Linked DNA regions of Notamacropus eugenii. The protein of the gene in region 1 binds, or shares a complex with, the protein of each later gene. Links are inferred from orthologs where the notes say so. Each region holds a gene or a part of one and is shown in the gene's direction. Other genes may lie near its edges. The genes, in order: HERPUD1 and UBE2J1.

Region 1 (3,910 bases):
TAAGCTCCAAACAAAGGAGTCTGTATTTTGTAACAAAGTATCTTGAGCAAGGGAAAAACATCCTCAGACCTGTGCTTTAGGAATATGAATTTGGCAACTGTTTGGAGGAAAGAACTCTGTCAGCAAATCTTTAAAATCAGGTAGTCTTATCCTGAAGATGGTGACTTTGTTTCTTAAATATTTTGATAACTGTGTTTCAATATAATTTATTTCCATTGCAATTTTATGTATTTTATTTTATGTATTTAAAAACGTGATTCTGACAAGAGATCTATAGTGTTTACAAGACTGCTAAACAGGTCCATGACATGCACACACAAAGGTTAAGAAACCCTGTTTCAAAGAATGGTATTCCTAGATTAAGACCATTCAGATGTAGTGGAAAACACCCATTAATTTGGGATTTGGAATCTGGGTTTGAATCACTACTCTACCATAAGAATCTCAGAGGCTCTCTAGTTCAACACACTCATTTTACAGGTGAGAAAGCTGTGAAGCCTAGGAAGGTTGAGTGATCTGATGAGGTCATGTAGATAATATACAAGTGGCAAATCCAGCTAAAAACCAGGGTCTCCAAGGTCACCCTACTTAACTCCTTGTGCAGTTTTGGTCAAATTACTTCCCCTCACTTTGTTTCTGCCTCTTTGAAATGAGATGATTCCTAAGATCCTTCCAAGGTCTAAATTCTCCTATACTATGACTTTGGGATTTCTTAAGACCGGCATAGCCTTTGTCTTTTCTGACACACTAGCCCTTGAAGGCCTGTGGGCTGAACCACCAAGTTCAATCTGACGTCATAAACGTTTGTCAAGCACCAGGTATGAGTAAAGCACCGCAAGGCTCTGGATTGACAAAGACAACGAAGTCACAAGGAGCTAACTAACATCTATCTACACAGATAACATATACTAGAAGGTAGGAAGTAACCGTGTCAAAGTAGGGATCCAGATAAAAATGCTTTATGAACATGTGAGGAAATTTGCCAAAAAATCAGACAGAAGGGTTTTGAAACAAAGGGCAAAGGTATCATCTAAGGCAGGTCGGGGGATCGTCTGTGGTCAGGGGGCTGGCAGGGCAAGGATTATGCATTATGACGAAACCATTCAAAGAGATTTCGAGGCTGTGGACGCAGGCTGGGATACTGGCCATGGTCACTTCAGAGTTCAGCCGCCTGATGGGACGAGGTTCAAGGAAAACCAGCCTCAACGCCCCTGAGCCCCAAGTCCCAGTCCTAAGCCTCACTGTGCTCCAGGGTGACGCAACTCCAGGCTCTTGCATCAGTCTGTCCTCAGAGTTCCTCTCGGCCCCGCCCTACTTGGTCCAGCGGCTAGGAACAGCAGCCCAGCTTCTCTTCCCCATTCGTGGATCTGCGCTCCGATTGGGCCACGTTGGGGCTGACCCTCGGCTTCAGCCAATAGACTTCAGCCACAGTGTATCCAGTGTATTCGTTCGCAGAGGCGGGGAGGGGCTGCCCATAAAAGGCGGCTGGGTTGGGGTCGCGCGCACCAGAGCAGGAAACTGTCGTTCGTTCGGCTGTTTGTCTCAGGCTAGGGTGGGAGCAGAGGCGGCGGCACCGCCCTCTAGTCTGTCCGCTCAGGCCGCTGCGGGCCGAGCCGAGCCTTGGGAACCCAGAAGACATGGAGCCCGAGCCTGTGACCCTCTTGGTGAAGAGCCCCAACCAGCGGCACCGGGACCTGGAGCTGAGCGGGGACCTGAACTGGAGCGTGGGCCGCCTCAAGGCTCACCTGAGCCGCGTCTACCCCGAGCGACCGGTGAGGCCGGGGGACATGGCCCAGCTTGCTTCCCTGCGCTCTCGGCCTGGCCTGGCCTCTGCGCCGCTCCCAAGGGGCGATTCAGAGCTGAGGGGGTGGGGGGAACCTTAGAGATCGGCTAGGCCTCTCCCCGATTCTGCAGCAGCTGTCACCTGTTTCTGCTGTTCCTCTTCCCCCCGCCGTCCTCCCCCACCCCCACCCGCCCCTTTCCCTCTGGTCAGCAACTGTCCCCTGCCTTCTTGTCCATTTGTCACCGAGTCCCCCCGCCGCGCCTTGCCCGCAATTCCCTTTCCTCCTCTCTGCTGCTCGCTAACTCCCTTCCTGTCACCCCTTCCCCGCCTTCATGTCTCCCAACTTCCATGCCTGTCTTCCTCCACAATTCCCCCACCTCCGAAGATCTGTGTTTTCTCACCAGGTCTCCTCCTTGCTGTCGGCCTCTACCGCCTCCTCTTCCTCTCCTCCATCTCCTCGCTCCAGTCCACTTCCCTTAACTCTTCCATTCCCTCCCCCTCACAATTCTCATCTGCTTCCCTCTTAACTCCCTGCAGTTCCTCATCCTCCTGGAGTCTGTCCTTTCCAGTAACCTCTCCACCTAGATGTCCTTCAGTCTCTCTCCCTCCCACCCATCCACCCAATCCACCTCTCACCCTAGTTCTTCATCCTCCATCTGCCTCAGCCCACTTGTCCGCCTTTCTCCAACCCAAATCTTTCCCTGTTCCACCCCCACGGAGCGGAAACAGTACTAGAGGAATGGGGGTGGGGTGGGGGCAGAAAAGCAGGGAATCCAGGAGCCTGGGTTTCTGGTTCCAGTTCTGCCCCAGGACTCTGTGACCTTGAGCTTCACCCTTCTTTGACCTCAGTTTTTTCCCGAGTAAAAGAAGTGGCTGGATTAGATGTTCTCCAATGTCCTCAACATAGTTCTTTAAAAAATTATAAAGTTTCTTAATGTTCTTTGTGTCATCTGTTACATAATTGTGTCTGCAAATTTATAGACAAACAGTGGGCAGGTCTCCAAATCCTTTTCAGTGTTAACACTGACTTGTCTTCATCCTTCTCAGTATTGATACTATGACAATCCTGGGTTTACCCTCACTGGGAAAGACTTGGCTTGAAAAGTCTGCTCTCCTCTCTCCCACCTTCCTTTCTCCTGGCTCCTTATTCCAGTTGCTGTGTACCTAGCTAGGTCCTTGTTCTTGCTGGTACAGAGGCATTTTCTTGTTTGGGTGGTTATCTGAGATGAACTCTTTCTGAAGCAATGGGACTTTGTGCCATGATGGCAGTGTCTTCTCTTGTTTGGGTGTGTTGTCAACCTTTCCTTTTATCTGAAGCCCTTCCTCCCTCATGTGATCATGTATGAGTTGTTGGAGCCTTTGTTTATTTACCCTGTGGCCTTATGTAATAGGCAATAGTAGTGTTTGCTTCCAATTATATAATTCTTAATTATGGGGAGCAAAAAGAACCAAGGTGGCAGGAAAGGATTACAGAATATCTGTTTTAGAAACTGTTACAGCACAATACATTCAATTTTATTTAAAGTTAAGAAGAAAGAAGTTAAAACTTTCTGAAACTTAAGAACATCTGGGTAGTTATTTTTTCCTTTGCTTTAATGCAGTTACTTTCTTTCCAGGCTTCAAGATTTAGTTTGGCTTATTGTTCAAAATCGTTTGCCATTTTTTGTTTTGTAAGAAAACATTCGATTTTGTGATTTTGTTAAATATATTAATTAGTGACATAGAGTAATGATAGGTAAGGTAAAGCCACAAGAATTTATTAAATACTCCATGCTCTATGCCAGGTACTGTTTTGAGCTGGTATTTATGGAACTTTCAAGTTTATAAATGCCTGAAACTCCTACTGCATTGCTTAGGTGACTCTGGGTTCTTGAAGGCTTAGTCAACAAAGCACAACCTCTTGAGAGTCTCTGCCAGAAAAGACTTGGAGGAGAGTCCCAGCAACAGATTATGTCAGTTTTCTGGCACAGCTCAGCCACTCGAGACTCATTTCATCCCCAGAAGGCGGACTCCTGGATGAGAAATTCTTTGGTCATAGTAGCCTGTAAACATCAAAATACAAAATGGTGCTCAGTTTTCTGAGTTTCCTGAAACCAACTTTCATATCTGGAATGGCAGAAAAAAGGG
Region 2 (3,910 bases), on another chromosome or scaffold:
ATTATTATACCCATTTTGTTGTTGTTGGTCTGACTCTGTGACTCCATTTAGGGTTTTCTTGGCAAAAAGACTGGAGTGGTTTGTCATTTTCTTCACCAGCCCATTTTACAGATGAGGAAACTGAGGCAAACAGGTTTAAGTGACTTTCTCAGGGTCACACAGCTAGTAAATGTCTGAGGCTGGATTTGAAGTCATTAAGAGGAATCTTCCTGACTCTAGGGCCAGCACTCTTCTCATCTAGCTGCCTCTACTTTACCCCCCAACCTCCAGAAGCCATTTAAATCTTTTTGACTGATAGCTTTTGTTACTGTCACCTACATTCTTCACATATCCCCCTCCCAGAGGGCTATCCTTCACGGTAAATTCTATAAAACTAACCAACGCACCCAAAGTCCCATGTTCTATGCAATTGGACGCAGTCACAGTCTCCCACTTAGCACAGTGCCTGGTACATGGTATAAATGTCTGTTGATTTCCGCCTCCCTTCTTTGGGGTCAAGCTTGGTCCTACTTCTCAGCATTCAGTTTCCATCCATTTTTCTTTGTGCTATTTACATAGCTGTTGCTACTTAATCTCTGGTCAGTTTCCTCATCTATGAAACAAAAAGTGTCAGCTTCCATGAAGGGTTCGTAAAATCTGGTTTCAAGGGCCAAAAAAATAAATTCATCTTCATTTCAATAACCTGTTTTCCGCTGTAATTCCATATGCCTTATTTTATATTATATAAAACCATTATTTGGAGAATGGGTCTATAGGCTTCATTCACCACAGGGCCAAAGAAAGAAGGTTTGGCGAACGCGCCTCCCTTTAGTTACTATGTTACCTCGGGCGTGTCACTTTCCCTCCTCTGGACCTCAGTTTCCTCCCTCGCACAGTGAGGGGCGGGGTGGGTGGGTTAGACTCTACCGAGGACGGATCTCGGACTAGCCCGACCGAGTCTCCCTGGCCTGCAGCGAGCGCGGGAGGCGGCCCGGAAGCGTGACCACGTCGGGCCCACGGCCCGCCACGAAGTGACTGCCACGTCAGGATAACTTCACAAACCGAGCGCGGGGCAGGGAGCGCGACACCCGGCCCCGCATTGGGGGCGACGGGGGCGGGCGGGCACGGCGGCGGGACAACGGAAGCTCAGGCCGCGGCCCCACCCCCGGCTCTCCAAGCCTGCGACGGCCCGCAAGGGCCGGGCCTCCAGGCGGGGGCCGGGCGGGGCGGAGACGCAGGGCGGGACACTAGCCGGGCGGGCCCGGCGCAGGCAGCGAGGCGGATCCCCAGGAGGCGGAGCGGAAGGAGGCGGTGGCGGCGCGCGGAAGGAGGCGTTGGCGCGGCGGGCGGAGCGCAGGCAGGGAGGCGGAGCCACAGTCCCCGCCGCCGTCGCCGCCGCCAACGCTGCGTATCCCTGGCGCTCGCTGGGGCCGCCGGGGGCGGGGACTGGGGGACGCGGCTTCCCCGGCTCAGGAAATCCCCGGGGCCGGAGCCGGGGCCAGCAGCCCGTCGCGGAGCCGGGGAGCAGGAGGCGGTGGCGGGGCCGGAGCGGGACGGCAAAGCCACCATGGAGACCCGCTACAACCTCAAGAGCCCAGGTAGGGAAGGAAGCAGCCGCTCCCCTCCATCTCCCAGCACGCATGCGCGGGCGGACGGACGGACAGACGGACTGGCAGCCGGGGAGGCCTTGGGCCGCCGCCCCGCCACCTGTCACCGCCCGAGGGCCCCCTTCCTTACTCTAGTCGGATGTCCGGCCTGTCCTGGGCATGACCCCTCGGAGTCACCCGGGACCCGGGGAGCCGTCCGCTCGTCCACTGGCCGGCCCAGCCCGAGCTTATGGAGAGAGGGCCCTGCCTCCACCTCCCGACCTCGGCCTCACCCCACTTGGCCTTCTCCATTTCTTTTTCCTCTCCTCCTCATCCTTTTTAAAGGGGCGGCACCCTAGAGGCCGCAGGACACTGTGGGACCCCCCCGCAGGGCGCCCGCGCCGCCTCCTCGGGCTGCTGCCCTCGGACTGGACACTTCCCGGGCAACTTGGCCGCCCCGCCTTCTTGGCCGTGGTCGGGGGTGCTGGTCCGTGTGCGCGCTGGACGAGGCGTCTGCGGGGAAGTGCGGGAGAGACGGGAGAGGGGTCTGTGGCAGGTCTGGACCTGGACCCGCTCCCCAAGGAGAGCGCCTTGGTGAGGAGGAAGTCGGAGGACCCCTTGTGCCCTTGTGCAGCTCCCTTACTCTGCCCGGACCTCAGTGCCCTCCGCTGTAAAATAGTGGCGTTTCAGCAGGAGAACCCCAAAGGTCGCCTCCATCCCCCAAAGCTGTGATCCCCTGAAGATGTGGAGCTTGGAGCACCTACTGCCTGGGTGACCTTGGGGAGCTCACCTATCCTTTCTGGGTTTTAGTTTCCTCGTCTGTAAAACGAGGGAGTTGACCTAGATCTAGGATTCTTAAGCCGGAGTCGGATAGATTTTTTGTTTTGAAGTGGGGCTGGGTCTTAGGAACTTGGATGGGGAAACACATTGTCTATATTTTCACAAACTTTTGACTGAAATACAGTATTTCCTTCAATTATTTAAAAGGAGTCCATGACACAGAAAAGATTAAAAACTCCTGTTTTTAGAGTCATTTTCAGCTCTTAAATATTCCTTTGGTCTTACGTTGTTAGAGTCCACCACGGTTTTTCAACTTGAAAGCTTTTACTCATAGCATTTTCTAATAGATTATCTTTAGGTATTTGCCTTCCAACCCTGTCTGTGAAGTGAGTAGTGTGACTATATACATATATATAAGCTGGATGAATCCTAAGGTCCTATTAAACCCTGAAACCTTATAGGTCATCTATTTCATGCTACTTCATATGTTTGTTGTTGTGTTTGTACTTCATATATGTACATATTTTACATATGTGTATGTAGCTGTATTTATCTACCTGTCTACCTACCTACCCTTGGGATAAAGGATAATTGGGTTCCTGTCCTGTATTGAACACATCCTGGCTGTGGGATTCTCTAGGAGTGACCTAATCTCAAATACTGATACTGTAAGTTGCAGATCAGGTGTCTGCAGTTTTAGAGGGAATTTCCTCATCTGCAGTTGGAAACCATAGCTCCAGACTGTCCTGACCCTCAAACATATCAATCCATATCCAGTGTTTGAGAATGAGGGGGAAGTGGAAAAAGTCCACTGATAAGAATCAGTGAACAGGCACTTAAGTGCCCACTATGCCAGGCACTGTTCAAAGCCAAGATAAACAATGGAGTTTACATGTTAGCACTGTAGCTCACATGATAGTGATTATTATTCATGTACAGTGCTTTGAGGTTTTCAAAATGTTTTATACACATTATCTCGTTTAATCATCATGTTTACTCTGTTAGGTAAGTGCAACAATTATTCCATTTTTATAGATGAGGATACTGAGGTTCAGAGAGGTTAAGGTGATTTGCCCAGGGTCAAAGGTATTGTGTCTCAGAGTCAAGAGTTAAGTCTCAGAGTCTTCCTGACTCTAAGGCAGGTTCTCTTATAATATCTCTCAGTATAAATTTACCTTTTTAACAGATGAGGAAGGAGAGACCCAGAAAAATGAAATCTCTTATGGTCATATAGCTCTTAGGCCCTGACTTGAAACAGGAACCCAAAATTCTAAACTGCCAAGTCCAGAATTATTTCCACTGCAGAGTGCCTCCTGTGTAACTACATACATACCTATGTAGGCTCCCTTCATCAGGGGAGAAGGAATTCAAAGCAGTAAGTAACCCTGATGCCACTACTCCAGTCCCTTCTACAAATCCTTGGGCATATATACAGTAGAACATAGATGAATGCCTGTGAAAGAGCTGCGCCTTCATAAGTGTCTGTTGATTGATCACCAGGTACTGCCATTGCACTGGCAAAATTTGTGAAATGGTAAAAAAAAACAATGCAGTTTAAGTTTAAT

The links.
Region 2: HERPUD1 (region 1) and UBE2J1 share a complex: the UniProt entries of both Homo sapiens proteins name them as parts of the HRD1 complex. The link is inferred for Notamacropus eugenii from reciprocal best matches to the Homo sapiens genes HERPUD1 and UBE2J1.

What each region holds. Positions count from the first base shown.
Region 1 is NC_092872.1:474,463,684-474,467,593, forward strand, and holds the start of HERPUD1 (homocysteine-responsive endoplasmic reticulum-resident ubiquitin-like domain member 1 protein), read left to right. Parts: upstream 1-1,427; 5' UTR 1,428-1,637; coding exon 1,638-1,772; exon of another isoform or gene 1,773-1,859; intron 1,860-2,184; exon of another isoform or gene 2,185-2,285; intron 2,286-2,553; exon of another isoform or gene 2,554-3,910. UniProt on the Homo sapiens protein: Component of the endoplasmic reticulum quality control (ERQC) system also called ER-associated degradation (ERAD) involved in ubiquitin-dependent degradation of misfolded endoplasmic reticulum proteins.
Region 2 is NC_092873.1:163,063,654-163,067,563, reverse strand, and holds the start of UBE2J1 (ubiquitin-conjugating enzyme E2 J1), read left to right. Parts: upstream 1-991; 5' UTR 992-1,546; coding exon 1,547-1,577; intron 1,578-3,910. UniProt on the Homo sapiens protein: Catalyzes the covalent attachment of ubiquitin to other proteins. Functions in the selective degradation of misfolded membrane proteins from the endoplasmic reticulum (ERAD) and is essential for cells to recover from ER stress.